4 linked regions of the Caenorhabditis elegans genome follow. The protein of the gene in region 1 purifies or fractionates together with the protein of each later gene. This does not show direct contact. Each region holds a gene or a part of one and is shown in the gene's direction. Other genes may lie near its edges. The genes, in order: ZK632.4, Y38A10A.7, mek-2 and F48E8.3.

The links.
Region 2: the proteins of ZK632.4 (region 1) and Y38A10A.7 fractionate together in Caenorhabditis elegans (co-fractionation; one large-scale study listed by BioGRID). This does not show direct contact.
Region 3: the proteins of ZK632.4 (region 1) and mek-2 fractionate together in Caenorhabditis elegans (co-fractionation; one large-scale study listed by BioGRID). This does not show direct contact.
Region 4: the proteins of ZK632.4 (region 1) and F48E8.3 fractionate together in Caenorhabditis elegans (co-fractionation; one large-scale study listed by BioGRID). This does not show direct contact.

Annotation. Positions count from the first base shown.
Region 1 is NC_003281.10:9,804,961-9,809,316, reverse strand, and holds ZK632.4 (putative mannose-6-phosphate isomerase), read left to right. Parts: upstream 1-1,862; coding exon 1,863-1,994; intron 1,995-2,178; coding exon 2,179-2,287; intron 2,288-2,497; coding exon 2,498-2,710; intron 2,711-2,758; coding exon 2,759-2,938; intron 2,939-2,988; coding exon 2,989-3,605; 3' UTR 3,606-3,802; downstream 3,803-4,356. Other genes in the region: gtap-2 (Gamma-Tubulin Associating Protein), read right to left, coding at 1-34, 83-221, 330-445, 497-587, 643-771; riok-3 (Serine/threonine-protein kinase RIO3), read left to right, coding at 4,346-4,356. UniProt on the Caenorhabditis elegans protein: Involved in the synthesis of the GDP-mannose and dolichol-phosphate-mannose required for a number of critical mannosyl transfer reactions.
Region 2 is NC_003283.11:6,094,572-6,097,645, forward strand, and holds Y38A10A.7 (N-alpha-acetyltransferase 40), read left to right. Parts: upstream 1-1,625; 5' UTR 1,626-1,639; coding exon 1,640-1,740; intron 1,741-1,785; coding exon 1,786-2,124; intron 2,125-2,175; coding exon 2,176-2,332; 3' UTR 2,333-2,522; downstream 2,523-3,074. Other genes in the region: smut-1 (Synthetic MUTator), read left to right, coding at 2,534-2,666, 2,714-3,074.
Region 3 is NC_003279.8:3,010,425-3,015,386, reverse strand, and holds the start of mek-2 (Dual specificity mitogen-activated protein kinase kinase mek-2), read left to right. Parts: upstream 1-1,938; 5' UTR 1,939-1,941; coding exon 1,942-2,028; intron 2,029-2,089; coding exon 2,090-2,269; intron 2,270-2,324; coding exon 2,325-2,543; intron 2,544-3,721; exon of another isoform or gene 3,722-3,779; coding exon of another isoform or gene 3,780-3,898; intron 3,899-3,958; coding exon of another isoform or gene 3,959-4,697; exon of another isoform or gene 4,698-4,703; intron 4,704-4,768; exon of another isoform or gene 4,769-4,894; intron 4,895-4,962. Other genes in the region: col-48 (Nematode cuticle collagen N-terminal domain-containing protein), read right to left, coding at 3,780-3,898, 3,959-4,697. UniProt on the Caenorhabditis elegans protein: Functions in the let-60 Ras signaling pathway; acts downstream of lin-45 raf kinase, but before the sur-1/mpk-1 gene product in controlling vulval cell differentiation. Required for progression of developing oocytes through the pachytene stage.
Region 4 is NC_003281.10:5,459,663-5,464,935, forward strand, and holds F48E8.3 (fumarate reductase (NADH)), read left to right. Parts: upstream 1-1,716; 5' UTR 1,717-1,753; coding exon 1,754-1,900; intron 1,901-2,306; coding exon 2,307-3,231; intron 3,232-3,589; coding exon 3,590-3,714; intron 3,715-4,097; coding exon 4,098-4,382; 3' UTR 4,383-4,720; downstream 4,721-5,273. Other genes in the region: F48E8.2 (E2F-associated phosphoprotein), read left to right, coding at 4,736-4,896.

The DNA of each region.
Region 1 (4,356 bases):
TCATCAACTGGATATACATTCGCTGTATTGTTTGCTGAAATTTCATAGTGTTATTTTAAAAAACATTTTTAGTATTTCTTACGTGGTGATATCTCATCTTTTTCTGCCACTTTGCGTGTTCTCAGTGCTGGAGAAATATCCCATGCTAATTGTGGAATGTTATTTCGTACAATTGGTTTTGAATATAATCTGTATTTATATTCACCATCGATTCGTACCATCTGTAATTTGAATTAATTTATTCTGGGATTGAAAAATATAAAAATGAGCAGTTTTCTAGAAGATTTCTCGAGAAAAACCTTACAAAATTTGTGAAAATAAAAATTTACCAATTTTTGGGACAACGAGACTTCTTTCAAGCTATTCTCAAAATCCTCATCTGACAACCGGGAAGTTGCGACCAGCACAAAATAGTGGAGAGCATCATCCTGTTCTTCCAGCTGATCTAAAAATATTTAAACTCAAACAAAAATTGCTTTAAACTATAGATGTATACCTAGGACTTCAGAGACAACCGGGCGAAATGCTTCTAGCTTTAGAGTAACCAGCCGTTCATTCAAATCATCCGTCAATTCGTGAGCTGTCAACTGAAATTTTGAATTGAGCTCCAAGATGTTTCTTTTGAAGAATTGTCAAACCTACAGGATTCCCGTTTGAGTCTCGTAAGGGCTGATTTTTATTGATCAGATAGAGACACTCCAAATCTGATATTGTTTGGCACTGTTGCACATTTTGTTCCCCATGTATTAGAAAGCTTAATGTGCTTAGCATTTCTGAAAAAAACAATTTAAAAAGGATTCAGTTTTATTGAAATTAGAAAAAAAAACAGTGGCAATTGAAAAAACAACAAAAAAACATTAGGAGGAGTTTAGTAGAGCACGCCTGCATCACACTTTATGGAACATCAGTCTCAGTAGAAATGAATCCACCATTATGACTAAGTTTTTAGAGTATTAGTTGCCATTTATATAAAGTTTTTTAAAAATATTTTATGCTACTGTAAATTTTGTATTGTTTGAATTTAAATTTATAAAATTTACATCTTTACTCATAGTTCTCGACTATTGAATATTAGAACATGCACTTCTACGGAACATTTTTTCCATTGTTTCCATAGAGCCTGTAAAAACCATTTTTTGTGAAAAAACTTGTTGCTTTCAAAAATAAATAAACTTTCATCAAAGTTCTATTCTGATTCTCTGAAATAATTTTTCATTAATTTACACTTTGTTGTTCGATCTTTTGTGACCTTCATTGGCTAAGAAATGTCCCGATTTTTGTATTTAAAAACCACTTCCGGCATTAACCTGCTTCAAAATCAGCGATCAAGGAATTTCTCAGTTTTGCCGCATGTTGTCGTCGCCATGTTGCGTGCGTTCATCGTGTAAATAATCACCGAGAATACGATCTATCTCTCTCTTATGATCCCACCCATAAATCTGTCTCCGACAATCATTTGATTTGTCTGAAAATTTACGACCTTTCTCTACAATTAGTTTAGGCAGTCACGTTGACGCAATCTCACACGCATACCCACTCAAGATATGAAAAAAGTCGACGGTCGCACTCGTTTTATAGTTCTGATCTCAGCGTTTTCAATCTGCGTCTCCGAGCCTCTCGGTCATATATATGTATTCCGTGTCTTCCAGTTCGGAAGTCTTTTTCTCTTGTCTTATGGTCAACTTATGACTGATTATATTTAGTCACGTGTCGATTTTAGCGCATGCGTTGATCAGAGAAAACTAGAGAGATCAGTCGTTTACCGTCATTTTGATGCATTATATCTTTTATTTTCTCCCTAACTCATATTTCGAACATAATCTGTTCTCTCAAAACATTTCTTCCATAATTCATGTTTTCAGATGCTTCTGAAGCTAAAGTGCACTGTCAATAACTACGCATGGGGACCCAAAGGAAATTCTAGCATGGCTGGAAGTCTTGCATTAGATGGTGGTCATATTCCAAATCTTGACAAAGACAAACCATACGCTGAAGTGAGTAATGAAACATGTATCTATTTCCGTTCTAATTAAAGCGATTCTCAATCTATTTGTGGCGTCTTACCGTGGTTTCTGACCTTATGTCGTGACTTTCGAAGATTGTGTCGTCGATCACCTGATCAGATCGGCCTACATCACTCCCGAAACACGTTCTCTTTCATCATCTTTATTATTACAGTTCTGGGTGGGAACTCACGCTAACGGGCCGGCCCACGTCATCGAAAAAGACATCGCTCTTAAACAACTTTTGGCTACATCGCCAGAGTTACAGGGAAAACATGAAAAAGGTGAATAAAATAAATATTCTTTACTGTTCTGGCTTGGGAATGGTCTAACTGGCTTGAAACTTATGTAATTTGGAAGTTAAGAGATCAGCAAAAAGGAATATCCAATTCGATGTCAGCTTCCGAATGACATAAATTTCAAGCCAATTGATACATTTCAATTCCTTAAAGAACAACATGACCTTGTCAATAAATATTAATTATTTCTTTCAGGCAACCTTTCATTCCTCTTCAAAGTGCTTTCCGTTCTTGGACCACTCTCAATCCAAATTCATCCAACAAAAGAACAAGGAAAACTTCTTCATGCTACAGATCCGAAGAACTATCCAGATGACAACCACAAACCAGAGATCGCAATTGCTCTGACTGAATTCGAGCTTCTTTCCGGATTTCGGCAACATTCACAAATTAGTGAATATCTGAAATGTAATTATCACAATTAGATTATAAGCATTAAAATTTGCTTTTTTTCAGTGTACTCTGAAATTCAAGAATTGCTCACCGAAGAAGAGAAAAGTCAAATCGACAGTTTAGGATCTTATGGAGAGAGTTCTGCACAGGTTCTCAAAAAGATCTTCTCAAGAATTTGGCGAACTCCAAAGGAAAAACTTCAAATAGTTGTTGATAAACTTGCCAGACGAATTCAAGGACATGGTAAGCGATATTTTTGAATGAATATCTTCTTTTTAATTACTAAATTTCAGAAAACAAAACGGCTCTTGATGAAATAATTGTCTACCTTTTCACATTGTACCCTGGAGATGTTGGTGTATTTGCTCCAATTTTCTTGAACTACTTCAAATTACAACCTGGAGAGGCAACATTTTTAGAACCAAACATGCCACATGCTTATTTGAAAGGAGATTGTGTTGAGTGTATGGCAGACAGTGACAATACTATTCGAGCTGGATTAACACCAAAATATATTGATGTAGAATCATTGGTTGAAATGTTGAATTATGATGAGACCCTGCTTCCAAAATATATTCCAAATGAACTGGACGATGGATCACTACTATTTACTCCACGTGGAATTGATGAGTTCTGGGTGCAGGAAGTCAAAGGACCCGCTGGATCGATCTACCAACTTCCTTACTCCGAATCATGTTCTGTCTTGACGGTTCTCTATGGTACTGCAACAGTTACATTGGGAGATGCATCACAAGTATTGAATCGAGGAGAAGTCGTTTTCATTGGAGCTACACATGACGCTGAACGTCCCAAGATTAATATTTCTGATGATTTTCTTGCATTCCGAGCGTTCACACCATCACCAAGAGCCCTCGAAAGTCTTTCAAATAAGCGTCTGATTATTGATTAATTCAGAAATCTTTTTATGTCTTTATATAATTCACCACAGTTTTACGCAATGATTGTATTTAAAAATTAAACTTGCCATGCTATAGCTTCCACGTTATTTCAGCTAAAAATTGGAATTTTGGAATTTCAATTACATACAAAAGTGCTAGTCACTGTTTTTCATTATCTAGGGTTGTTCATAATAAATTTTTATTCCTTATTTTTCAATTCTTAATAATTATTTGAGGATTTTTATTCATTGTTTACATTACTTCCTTCTTTCTTACGATTAGCGCTGCCTGGCCGGTCGTTAAAATTTCAAATAATGTTCTATTCAATAATTTTCGGAGGTTTATTGTAAAATCCTGTATTTTATATTGAAAAAATGCTAAAATTGAACAATTATCAACAAAAAAAGGTTTTGTATTGGTTCTGCTAAATTATTGTGTCCTTCACGTCCCTAACATAAATAATTAGCATACCATACTTGGGTCTGCTAAATAGCTATGGTCTGCTAAATATTTAGCATACCATGCTTGGGTCTGCTAAATAGCTATGGTCTGCTAAACATTTAGCAGACCATATGGCCATGGCCGTTCAAACTACACCCTCGTCCCTCTGACAGGACAAATATTGATTGCATTGCGAAACATTCCACAACTGGACAAATTTTCAATTATTCAACAATACAATTGCCATTTTTTGATTTAATTTCGTTTCAGTAGATAGTTTGCCGTTTTCTCCAAGCTTTCAAGCCAGACAATGGCGAATTG
Region 2 (3,074 bases), on another chromosome or scaffold:
GTTAATGAAAACTACCATTAATAGGCAAAAATAGATGGATTTTCCAAACTTTGAAAATTCATAAATCTCTTCAAAGTAATTTTTTTTGAAATGACTTTCAGAAACTTTGTAGTAAATTTTAAGCTCTTTTAGAATATATTAACAATATTTCAGTAGGTACAAGAAGCTTCACGTAGTTACAGAAATAGTACATTTTCAGCCCCACCTTTTAGTGCGTATTTTATTATTCAAAAAAACTACCATTTATAAGCAGGAGATCCTCTGTTGACGTTAGCACACTCTTCACTATGCGAAATCAATTTAGAAGACTGCGTCTAAATTCCCGCAATTTTCGAAGATCAAACCGAGATGGGACATTCTGACACTACGTGCACAGTTGATCGTTTGTTAATATGGCCTGGTTTTTCCGCGTAGGTTTCGATGCTTTTTTCAGTTCATGATTGCACAAATTTGTTACATTTATGCATCCATCGAACGAAATTAAACCTAAATCAACAAATAAACTACCAAATATAGAGGGTAATTATTTATATTTATGAAAGTGGAGTTCAGGTCGCTGCGAGACTGTAAAGTTGGTAAAGTGTTAGATTCTGGCGGAACATTCCCTTTTTCCAAATCTTTGAAGCCTCCTAACTTCGCCTTATTGCGAGAACACTAAATTCTGAGAATACGTATTGCGCAACCTATTTGACGCGCAAAATGTCTTGTAGCGAAAACTACAATAATTATTTAAATGGCTACTGTAGAACTTGTGGCGATTTACGGGCTTGACTCTCGAAACGAATTTCAGTTTGAAGTATGACAGCAATTTTAATTTTCGTCCATTTTTTGAGACCCGAAGAACTCGGGGGATGTCCAATTGGGGGGATTACCAACTCGGGGGATTGGCCCCGCCCACAGAACCGTGGCTTGCAATACGCCCATTTCTGCCGCACGGTTTTTCATAACTGCCGCACGGTTTTAAAATTATTTTTTCTTGTTATTTCTCGCTCTATTGAGAAAAATACAGTTTTAAAACCGTGCGGCAGTTGCAGAAATGGGCGTATTGCAAGCCACGGTTCTGTGGGCGGGGCCAATCCCCCGAGTTGGTAATCCCCCCAATTGGACATCCCCCGAGTTCTTCGGGTCTCAGACTTCTGAACTTTTCGCATGGTTAAGAACGTGCTGTCGTAACACTTTTTGTATATTTCTATTAAACATCGTTTTTTATGCTGGATAGCTGTTTTATTTCTAATAATAAAAATTGAAAATATCTAACTAGCATTCAATTTCAGATGATACAGCGAAGAATGACCCTGAAAATATTAGCTAGGAGACATATTACAACTTAAAACATACGAAATGTAAATTTGTTTCCGATTATCAACAAAATTGTACATTTTAACGATATTTTTATCAATAAAGACTAATTTTTACATATAAATGTTAATTTAAAGCAAATCCGTGACTTGACGTGATGGTGTTTGCACACTTTTCACCACAATATACGACATTCAAGTTATATGCATTTTTTTCAAATGATTCTATCCTTTCTTTTCAGTATTCTTTACGGTTTTATTGATCAATTTGTCACCAGTATAATCGATCATGTTTTATTTCTCAATAATTGTAAAACAATTTTTCAGATATCGGCCCAAAAATGCCCGTAGACTCGAAAAAATTGGTCAAAAAAGCTTGTCAGCACATAAAACCAGTTGAGAAATTCGAATGCGAGACACAAAGAAGTACTACAACTGATGGGTAGGATCTTTGAATGATTTTCAAATTAATCTTTATTATTTTCAGCGAAACTATCAAATTCGATTACATGTGGGCGACACATTTGAGTGATGAAGACTTCGAGTGGGTGTTCAGTTTATTCAAAGAGAACATGTACGATATGTATCACAAATCCCAGTGGGGATACGATGAAAATTCCAAGCGAAACGAACTTCGTGCAACAACATCAAGGTTCATCATCGCGAAGAATTCGAAAGGGGATAAAATTGGCTATACCACTTATCGATTTGTGGTCGATCACAACATTCCTGTGGCATATTGTTGGGAACTTCAAATTGTACCGGCTTATCAGAACAAAGGAATCGGTGGCATGATGCTCGACACGCTGGAAAAGCTCTCTTCAAAGTACAGTTTCAATTAATTCGAGAGCCAATAAACAAAAACTCTTATTTTCAGGACAAACATGAGTAAAGTCATGGCAACAGTTTTTCTGTATAATGGACCGTCGCTCGGCTTCTTTCACAAACATGGATACAACAGCGACGTGACGTGCCCATCCGATGATTCTGGTCTGGATTATGCGATCCTGTCGAAAGAGACACCGAGCACATAAGAATATTAAATTCTGATTCTATGATTTTCTAATTTGTTATCATCTTCATTCTGGCTTAATTGTTACATGTATTTTTTTTTGGGTAAACAAACGTTTTTTATATTTCTACTTTTATAATATTGTGTCGTAAAAACCGTTACTTTTCGTTCAAATATTTATTTTCAAACCAAAATATAAACATTTTTGTAATAATCTTTGTAGATGCCTCATCCTTGGAACACTGCCGATGCATTAGACGATAGTCGGGTACAAGTTGAGCACATTGATTTAGTTCCTCCAAAGTATGCAAATGTACTCAACTTCAGATCTATTAAAACTAGAGATTATTATTTTGGTAAACCATGTTCTGGGCAATTAAATATTTCAATAACTTTTCTTCAGCAATGAGAGATCGTCATCAGCAGTTGGGCGCAGTCACATCTTCAAAAGCTGAAACTGACAAATTGAATAAACACTGTGAGGAGAACACGATAATGGTGGATCAAGACGGAGTAGAAACTCCAGCTGATTATGGAACAGAGAGGATGGTTGCACATGCAATAGAAGATCACCGACTTGCCGCCAATTTGCAACGAATAAAAGTTCATATTCTGAATGCAGTTCAACAAAAATCAATTCAAGCTATTCGTGACCGCCGAGGACTTCTAGTGGATGCTCCAACTGGAATCGGGAAGACTTATGCGTTTCTTATTCCGGCGATTGAAATTGCATTGAGGGAGCGACCATTGCTTACCAATATTTC
Region 3 (4,962 bases), on another chromosome or scaffold:
GTGTTTTTTTCGGTGTTTTTCGTGAAATGCACGTCTTAAAACGTCTAATAAGCTTATATTTCCAAGAAATATCGATTTAAATCGGAAAAAAGACTACTGATGCGTCTTGGAATTGTTTGCTCTTTATCTCTTCTCATCTCTGTTTTTTCGACAAAAAAGCTGAAATAAATCGAATAAATCAGGCAGTATTGTTCTGAAATGAAAAATTTGCAGAAAAATGGTATTTTTCCATTTTTTTCATCAAAAGAAGCACCAATCGTGGAGAAAGTCCCTTCTTCTACGTAGAAATCCCCGTTTTCTATATAATTCCTCTCATCGAGACTTATATTATCCGATTAGCAGGTCAAAAATCCCCGTTTTTGGCACGGATCCACTGAAATCTCAATAAAAATCACATTTTCTCGAAGAAAAAAGCAACAAAAGAGCCGTCATCCCCCTCTCAAATTTCCTCTCCTCCTCAATTTCGATTAAATTTTTAATTATTTAGGCGCTTTTTCTGCTCTCTTTTTTCTTGCTCCAGCAGCGGCTCCCCGCATCTCTCATCGCCTTCTTCTCTTTTCTTCTCGCTTGACCGAGCTCTCGCAGTCCGGAAAAGCAGTCAATAAGCTAGAGAGCCGTGCTTTTTTTTCACCTGTTCTCAAAAATCGCCACTTCACGACAGGTTATATTCATCAATCAATTCATCACGTTTTTGCCTCGATTTCAGAGAAAACTAGTTGTTTCGGAAGAAATTAATCGCGAAATTTTTTTTATTTTCCCTTTTTTCAGACGGCTAAAATCACGTGGAAATTTATAATTGTATAGGTTTTCACTCAAATTGGCTCGAAATAGCTCGAAAAAATTCCAAAATGTGTATGGCGAATCAAAATTCGAAAAAAAAAAACCAAAATTTGCTAAAATCAGCGGCTAAAAATCCAGTTTTCATTGAATTATCTTCATTTTTTTAGAATTTTTGGCTTTTTGCCACCCAAAAATGGTCTCAAGCATTGAAAAAACACTGCGACAAGGAAAAGTTGACAAAATGTAGGATTTTAGCAATTTTTGCTTCAAAAACACGCCAAAAAACAGTTTTGGAATTTTTTAAAAATATGTAATTTTAGGTCATTCTGAGTATATTTAAGTGAAAACCCTCTTTAAAGGTGAAGTACCGAAATTCGAATCTTTGCTTTTTTAGACCCAAATTGGTCCAAAACTACCGAATTTCGTAATGAAACGTTTCGAAAATTTCTCAAAAAAAAGTTATGGCGGTTCAAAGTTCGGCAAATTAAGGCCCACAAAATTAAGGCCCAACGTCTGGAACCCAATTTTTATTTATTTATCACTTTTTAATAAATATTGCGGTCTTTTATTAGGCTTTTATTCGTTGTTTTAAGTACATTTATGGTCAGTGGGCACAAAATGTAACTTTTATTTGTGCCCCAAAGGCCAGAAATATGCTTAAAACAACGAATAAACGCCCAATCAAAGACCACAATATTTATTAAAAAGTGATGAATAAATAAAAATTAGGTTCCAGACGTTGCGACACCGAGAAGTTGGAAAAAATTTTGATTTTAGCTGAAAGTTGGCCTTATTTTGCCGAACTTTGGACCGTCATAACTTTTTTTTGAGAAATTTTCAGAATGTTTCATTACGAAATTCGGTAGTTTTGGACCAACTTGCGTCTAAAAAAACAAAGTCTCAAATTTCGGTACTCCACCTTTGATTTCTGAAAAAAAACTCTGCTTTCAGTTAAAATTACCAAAGAAACTAAATATTTTTAATATTTCCTGACTAATTTTTAGAAAATTAAATAGTTCTGAGTATTTTCTGAATTAGACTCCAAAAATCGCTAAATTTTCCCATTTTCCCCAGTTTTTCATAAGTTTTCTTGGAATTTTCCTCGTTTTTTTTCTAAAAAAAACCTCTCGATTAAAATAAAATCCAACTATTTTCCAGATAATGTCGAGCGGAAAACGGCGTAATCCGTTGGGACTCAGTCTACCACCGACAGTAAATGAACAAAGTGAAAGTGGCGAGGCGACGGCGGTAATAATTTAAAATTATTTTTAATTTTTAAATATTGAATTTAAAAAATATAAATTTCCAGGAAGAAGCCACCGCGACAGTCCCACTAGAAGAACAGCTGAAAAAGCTCGGGCTCACGGAGCCACAAACTCAACGGCTCAGCGAATTCTTGCAGGTCAAGGAGGGCATCAAGGAGTTGAGTGAGGATATGCTACAGACTGAAGGAGAACTTGGCCATGGAAATGGAGGAGTTGTTAATAAGGTTGGAATTTGCTGAAATAAGCTGGAATTTGGAAATAAAAAGTTCAATTTTTCAGTGTGTTCATCGAAAAACCGGTGTAATTATGGCTCGGAAGCTTGTACACCTCGAGATCAAGCCGTCAGTCCGACAACAGATCGTCAAAGAGCTCGCCGTACTTCACAAGTGCAATAGTCCATTCATTGTTGGATTCTACGGGGCTTTTGTGGACAATAACGATATATCAATTTGTATGGAGTATATGGATGGGCTTTCACTTGATATAGTTTTGAAAAAGGTAATAGTTTATTGGAAAATGTGCGGGTATGTTGGAAAATGATATGGTGGACAGTTCTCGCAGGATTCTCGGATTCGGCTTGTCCTTGTGATCCGCATTGTCGATCTGACCAAGCTTCTACTCGGAGTACCTGGCTCTGCCGATGGTCCGAATGATCCTTGTGATCCTGAAGCTCCGACCTTCTTCCCGGTACCTGGAATTCCGTCTTTCCAGAGGTTCCTGGCGGATCCTGTTCAGAAGATCGAACTCCGGCGTCTCAATTGCTTCCGTCTTGTCCTGGAGATCTGCTCTTTCCCGGATGTCCTGGTGGGCTTGCTGGAGCGTTTCCTTCTGGAAGAAGTTCTCCAGGCTCTCCTGTGGTCCAGAAGCTCACGGGCATTATGGCGGAATCGGGAGAGTTCAATCACGAAGCTCGTCCTGGTGATCCTGGATCACCTGATTCTCCGACTTTTCTATGGTTCCTGGCGGTCCCTGAGCTCGCTGGTGGGCAGTGCTCGCACAATCCTGGTATTCGGCTTGCCCTCCTCCTGGGAGAAGTGCTCCAGGCTCTGCCGATGGTCCGGATGATCCTTGTGATCCTGAAGCTCCGTCCTTCTTCCCAGCACCTGGAAGTCCGTCTTTCCAGAGGTTCCTGGCTGAACATATTCAGAAGATCGTCCAATAAAAAGCTCGTCATTCTGGATTTTTAAACGAAATCTTTGGCTCACCCTGCTCTCCAGCAACTCCGTACGTGGTGTCTGTCCGCTGTCCCATTACGGTTTGACCTACAAAAAATGCGGCAATTTTTTCCCCAAAAAATGTGACGTCAGCTGAAAATTCTTCGTCTCGACTCCCGCATTTTTTGTAGATCTCGGTAGATCAAACCAAAACGGGGCAGCCTGGCACCACGTGCTCCGACGTCTCAACTTCTTCCGTCTTGTCCTGGAGATCTGCCCTTTCCAGGATGCCGTGAGCCTCCTGTCCGTCTTGATGGCCTAGTTGGGTTTGCTGGAGTGTCTCCTTCTGGAAGAAGCACTCCAGGCTCTCCTGTGCTCCCCCAATACCTCCAACAGAAGCTCACGGTGCTCTCCTGGTTCTTGACCTAGTTCTCTTTCCAGAGGTTCCTGGCGATACCTGAGCTCACCGTGCTTCACAAGCCTCTTCACCCTTTTTTTTATTAAATGGACAACTACGACATATCGATTGAAAAAATAATATAGTTTATTCGAAAATGTACAGACAGACTCGCATAAGCTTCTAATATCCTGGAGCAAGACGTGCTGGTGGGCAGTGCTCGCACGATCCTGGAGATCCGGCGTCTCCTGGCGATCCTGGAGTTCCGGCTTGTCCTGGTGGTCCTGGTGGTCCGCGTTGTCCTGAAACAAATTTAACGTTTAGAAGAAGAAGAAGAAGCCTAGCTTATCATGATAATTTACCTGGCTCTCCAGCAACTCCGGCGTCTCCGTTGCTTCCGTCTTGTCCTGGAGATCCGGCCTTTCCTGGCTGTCCTGGTGCTCCTGGCCGTCCTGGTGGTCCGGATGGGCCTGGTGGAGCGTCTCCTCCTGGAAGAAGTGCTCCAGGCTCTCCTGGTGGTCCGCGTTGTCCAGGCTGTCCTGGTTGCCCAGGTGGTCCCGGTGGTCCGGATGGTCCTTGTGGTCCTGGAGCTCCATCCTCTCCGTTTCTTCCCGGGTTACCTGGAATTCCATCTTGTCCTGGTGGTCCTGGTGGTCCTCCAAGTCCTGGAGCAGCAGTGCATGGGCATTGTGGTGGAACCGGGAGAATTCGATCATGAAGCTCGGCATCAGGTCCTGGTGGTCCTGGCTCTCCTGGTCCTTGACCTGGTTCTCCGTCTTTTCCAGGAGTTCCTGGCTCTCCATCTGGTCCTGGTGGTCCCTGTTGGCATGTGCAGCATTGAGCATCAGCTTGACGTGTAGCTCTGAGCAGAACATCAAGTGGATCATCAGCACCTTCCGGTGCAACCTCGACCATCTCACGCCACATATCCCGAGATCGGGACTTGCAGTACTCAACCTCTCCTTGTACGGAAGCTTGAAGGGTCTGCACATAGTGGAATACCAATGGGAAAGCGATAAGCACAGCAGTCACTGCGACTGTGGAGAATGTGACGGCGACGAACGCCACACTTCGCAACGATCCCTTGCTCTTCTCGTCCATCTGAAATTCTATGAATTTTCTAGAATATTCGAACAAAGAATCAAAGGTGAAGAAGGGAAATGAAAAATGTCAGAAGTGTCAAAAGAATAAGAAGAAGAAGCCTACACAGTCATTTGCCGTTGCCCCCGAGTGCTTATATGCGGCCGCTGTGGTGGAACGAAACGGCAAGTCGCGCACTTCTGTGTGCGCTGCGTCTCATCGTTGCGCACGCAATTTCCGTGCGCCCCGCGCAGTGAACATCCCTTGCGTTTTTTTTTTCGATTTC
Region 4 (5,273 bases), 4.3 Mb from region 1:
AAATGATACGGCCACCCTTGGTTTTCGTTTTCTTTTTTCGTTTTCTTTGCAATTTTTTTTGCTAAACGTTAAGTTTCATGTTCGTTTGTGTTTTTACAGCTATGGGTCGTGGAATAACTTCAACTGACTACGAAAAAGGACAAATTGTGCCAAATTATCTCAAGGCTTCTCGAATCGTCAGATTTTTCGTGATTTGAAACTTTCGAGAGATATGATCACTCGATATGCTTCCAATCCTGCCGCTTATTGCACAAAAAAGTCTTCTGGTCGCACACCTTTTCTTTCTGTCAGACCCAAAAAAAAAACCGTTCGTCGAGCATCCAATTGAACAGTGACTTGCTCGAAAAGTAGGAGCGAGATGAACCTGGCAGTGTCTGTTGAGGCCGTACGACATGTTCTTTTGAAGTCTCAGTTTAACAAAAGACGAAAATTAAGAAAGGCTCCATTCATTACCAAAAAACCGCCAAAACCGTATTCAGTTTGCTAAAATCAGTCAGGGAACTAACTGAAGACAAGTGAGGATTACGGTATAATCATTCAAGCCCAGTTTTTGGTTTCAGTTCATCTTTTCTTTTCTCAAATCGTGCCACTAATCACGGTAGTAATCTGGTTCATTACAGTTAAACTTTTTCTCGTCACTGAAGATGAACTGAAACCAAAAACTGGGCTTGAATGATTATACCGTAATCCTCACTTGTCTTCAGTTAGTTCCCTGACTGATTTTAGCAAACTGAATACGGTTTTGGCGGTTTTTTGGTAATGAATGGAGCCTTTCTTAATTTTCGTCTTTTGTTAAACTGAGACTTCAAAAGGACATGTCGTACGGCCTCAACAGACACTGCCAGGTTCATCTCGCTCCTACTTTTCGAGCAAGTCACTGTTCAATTGGATGCTCGACGAACGGTTTTTTTTTTGGGTCTGACAGAAAGAAAAGGTGTGCGACCAGAAGACTTTTTTGTGCAATAAGCGGCAGGATTGGAAGCATATCGAGTGATCATATCTCTCGAAAGTTTCCAAATCACGAAAAATCTGACGATTCGAGAAGCCTTGAGATAATTTGGCACAATTTGTCCTTTTTCGCAGTCAGTTGAAGTTATTCCACGACCCATAACTGTAAAAACACAAACGAACATGAAACTTAACGTTTAGCAAAAAAAATTGCAAAGAAAACGAAAAAAGAAAACGAAAACCAAGGGTGGCCGTATCATTTTGTGGATTTTTTAAATATGGTTTTTCATGAAAAAATGGTTTATCTTTTTTACAAACGGTTCAGGTATATTTCCAATACTTATCTGAAAGTAAGTTAGTACAGCGAACATTTTCACAAGAAACTATGTTTTGCTATCTCAACCCAGTTTTGAGTTATACCAAAATTTGGGGTGGCCGTATCATTATGTGGAGCACTGTAGTATCGATACTACTAGATCAAAAGTAAATGTGAATAGTTACGGTTATGAATTATTGATTGTTTTTCCCCATCACTTTTTTTTCATGCTTCCCAGATGCCTTATCCATGTGAATATATTTATTCAAAAATCAGCTTTAATTTATTTTATATTTTCCCTTTTTTTCGGTTTTTCTCCTATGTTAGACATTCCATAAATAATGGGTTTTTAAAAAATAATTCTGTCTAATTTTTTCGGCGGTTTTAACCAATTTTCTATCATTTTCTATAATTTCCCTTTGTGTCCGTTGTTGAAATTTCCCCATTGACAGACATTTGATGATTCGGGTGCTCATTTCGCTTACAGTTATGGCTTCTGTGCTTCATGCTGAGCCAACTGTCGTTGTTGTTGGAGGTGGGCTCGCCGGGCTGTCTGCTTCACTGGATATTATCAATGGAGGTGGACGTGTGATTTTGGTAGAGGGAGAGGGAAATACTGGTGGAAATTCAGCGAAGGTAAGATCTTGCGAATTTTTGAAAAAAATCTATTTAACTTCTGGAAATATCGATTGTTAAAATTTATTTTCTCGCATTTTTTTGTTCCAAATTTCTGAAAAAGTTATTTATTTTACTATTAGTTGCAAATTGTGAAAAAAAATAATATTCTGTTTTTTTTCCTTTAAAACTGAAACGTCTCTGAAAAAATATGATAAATTAAAAAATTTCGATTGTAAGAAATTTTCAAATTTAAAAACAGTTAAATCGTGTGAAAAAGCTGGAAATAAAAAAAAAGAGTAACAAATTCTCGTTCTGAAAAATTTCAAAATTAAGTATGCCAAATTACAGTAAAATGTTTTAGTAAGTCTAGGTGATTTTTAAAAAAAGTGTCCAATATCCTCACTTCTTGAAAAAAATATTCCAGGCATCCAGCGGAATCAACGGTGCTGGAACCGAAACTCAGGAGAAACTGGGAATCAAAGATTCGCCGGAACTTCTTGTCAAGGACACTCTGAGTGCAGGAGACTCTGAAAATGACAAGAAACTTGTGGAAATTCTGGCTGCTAATTCAGCAGATGCTGTTGAATTTCTGCGTGGAGTTGAAGTGGATCTGACTGATGTGAATCTATGTGGTGGGCATTCTGTACCACGTACTCATTGGATTCCATCTCCAAAGGAAGGACGACCAATACCAGCTGGTTTCGAAATTATGAAGAGATTGAGAACAAGGCTTAATGAGAAGCAATCGGAGAATCCAGAAGCCTTCAAGCTTTTGACTCAGACTAAAATGGTTGGAATTTTGAGAGAAAATGGAAAAGTATCGGGAATCGAGATTGTAACATCAGCTTCTGGAGAGAAATCAAAGATCATCGGAGACGCTGTAATCCTTGCAACCGGTGGATTCTCTGCTGATGAAACTTTGCTCAAGGAATTTGGAGCTGAAATATTCGGATTCCCAACAACAAATGGAGCATTCGCTAAAGGAGATGGTGTGAAAATTGCGAGAGCTCTTGGAGCAAAGATTATTGGAATGGAAAATATTCAGATTCATCCTACAGCGTTTGTAGATCCAAAAGATCCATCAGCAGGAACAAAGTTCCTGGCGGCTGAGGCTATTCGTGGAAAAGGAGCTCTGCTTATTAACTCAAAGGGACAAAGATTTGGAAATGAGTTGGGAAGACGCGATTATTTAACTGGAAAGATTCTTGAGCTCGCTGAGCCAATTGAAGAGAGTTTCCAAGGAGGATCTGCTGGAAGAAATGCGGCGATTATGATTATGAATGAAGCAAATGTTGAGGCTTTTGGCAGACCTGCTTTCAATTTTTATTCGATTGTTAAGAAATTCTTTGGTAGGTTTTTTTCTGTGAAAAAGTTGGAAAACATTTTTTAAATTAGTTGTTTGTTATTTGAAAAATCCCAAACAATTTTTTTCAAATTTCATTTTTTTTTTCGAAATCCATTAACACTTCTCGAGAATAAGTTCGACAAAATCTTCGTATTAAAAATTCCCAGTTTAAAGATTTTTTTGTCGAAAATTTTATCAGCTTCCTTTTTTTTGGAGTTTAAAAGCATTTTAAATCCAAAACTAATTTTTTTTTCCGGAATTTCTGAAATTTTTAAAAATTCCCTTTTTCAAATTAATTTTTTTAATTTTTAGTTTTATATTATGAAAATTGTATTATTGCTCTGAAATCTGATTTTTTTCAGCGAAATACGAGAACTCCGCGGAGCTTGCAAAGGCTTTGGGTATCGACGAATCAGCTATTAAAACCACTTTGGAGGAATATCAGAAGAGTTTTGATGGAAAATCTGAAGATCCTTTCGGCAAAAAGGTATTCAAATATTTTTAATTTTAAAATTCTTGAAAAAATGACTAAGAATTCTGAAAAGTTGATCAAAATTGCATTTACTTTTAAAACAGACTTTATAAAATCAGAAAAGTGAAAGAAAAACTAAAATTCATAGATTTAGGAAAAATTGTGCTGAAATTGTATTATTAGAAACTTTGAGTAAAACGTTGAAAAATATCGAGAAAATCTTTCCCCGAATATTTGACGATCTATTTTCAATTTAAACTTTCCCAAGCCTAAATTTTTTTTCAAAATTAAAAAAATATCGTTCAGCAAAAAAAAATATCGAAACTGTAAAAACAAAGTTATTTTTGCATCGGAATTAGCCGAAAAATACCGAAACTGTAATAATTTCCCATTTCCAGGTGTTCCCAGTGTCTGCAATCTCTCCGACTGAGCCAATCTACGCAGCAATCGTCGTCCCAGCAATCCACTACACCATGGGTGGCCTGAAAATCGACGAGGCCACCCGCGTCATCGATGAGCATGGCAAGCCAATTGTCGGCCTTTTTGCCGCTGGAGAAGTCACTGGCGGAGTTCATGGTTCCAATCGATTGGCTGGAAATTCCCTGCTTGAATGTGTGGTGTTTGGCAGAATTGCTGGAAAATCTGCGGCTCAATCTGCTGCGGAGACTCGTACCGAGCTCTAATTCGAATATTTTTACAGAAAAAACTCAGTTTTGTGGCTCAATTCTACAGTATAATTCAGAAATTTTCAGTTAAAAAAAACATTTTTTCGCGATCCGGGATTCCCGGACCCCTGTAGATAATGATTCATTTACTAGTTCCAACCAACTTTATATGTTTTTATTATATCTACTACTCTATTCAGCATTTTTATTTTTCTTGTGATTTGCATCTTTATGGGTTCTTCTACACATATATTTATTTCTCATTTTCTCTTCATTTTCACACTCTCTCGTATTTATCGTGTTTCCTTCTTCGTATTGTGGTGTGTTTTTGGGTAATAAATGTGTTTTATTTTCAGAAGAAGCGGCAGACGATGATGATCAACGATGACGATGAGACGTTCGATGACCAATATCCAGCAGATGAAGTGACCGCAGCAACGATGCGTAGACTTGCTTTTGAAAAAATGGATGATGATTATTATCTCGGTGGAGCTGTTGGGGATGAAGTTTTTGATTCAGAGGATGATGTGAGGTAAATACACTGGAAAATGGGAGAAATTGTAATCAATGCCAAAAAAAGGAAATGCACAGCGTAAAAATTTTGGAAAAAAAAACTATTTTTCACTAAAATCACATGAATTTCTAAGTTTCCACCTTTTAAAAAAATCAGACACCGCTCGCAGGTTACGGTAGCAGTAATCCCCGACGCAGCTGAAATTCTTGCTACAGTACTCCATGCAGAAGTATTCAAAGAAAACGACCTTTTTTGGTTACTGTAGCTAAATTTTAATATGTTGGTTCAATAGAAAATCATTTTTGAGAAATATCCCTACTTCATCGAAAAATCAAGTTTTATTTCAAAACTATCCCGCTGATCAAACAAACACAGTATTCCTAGGCGAATCTAGT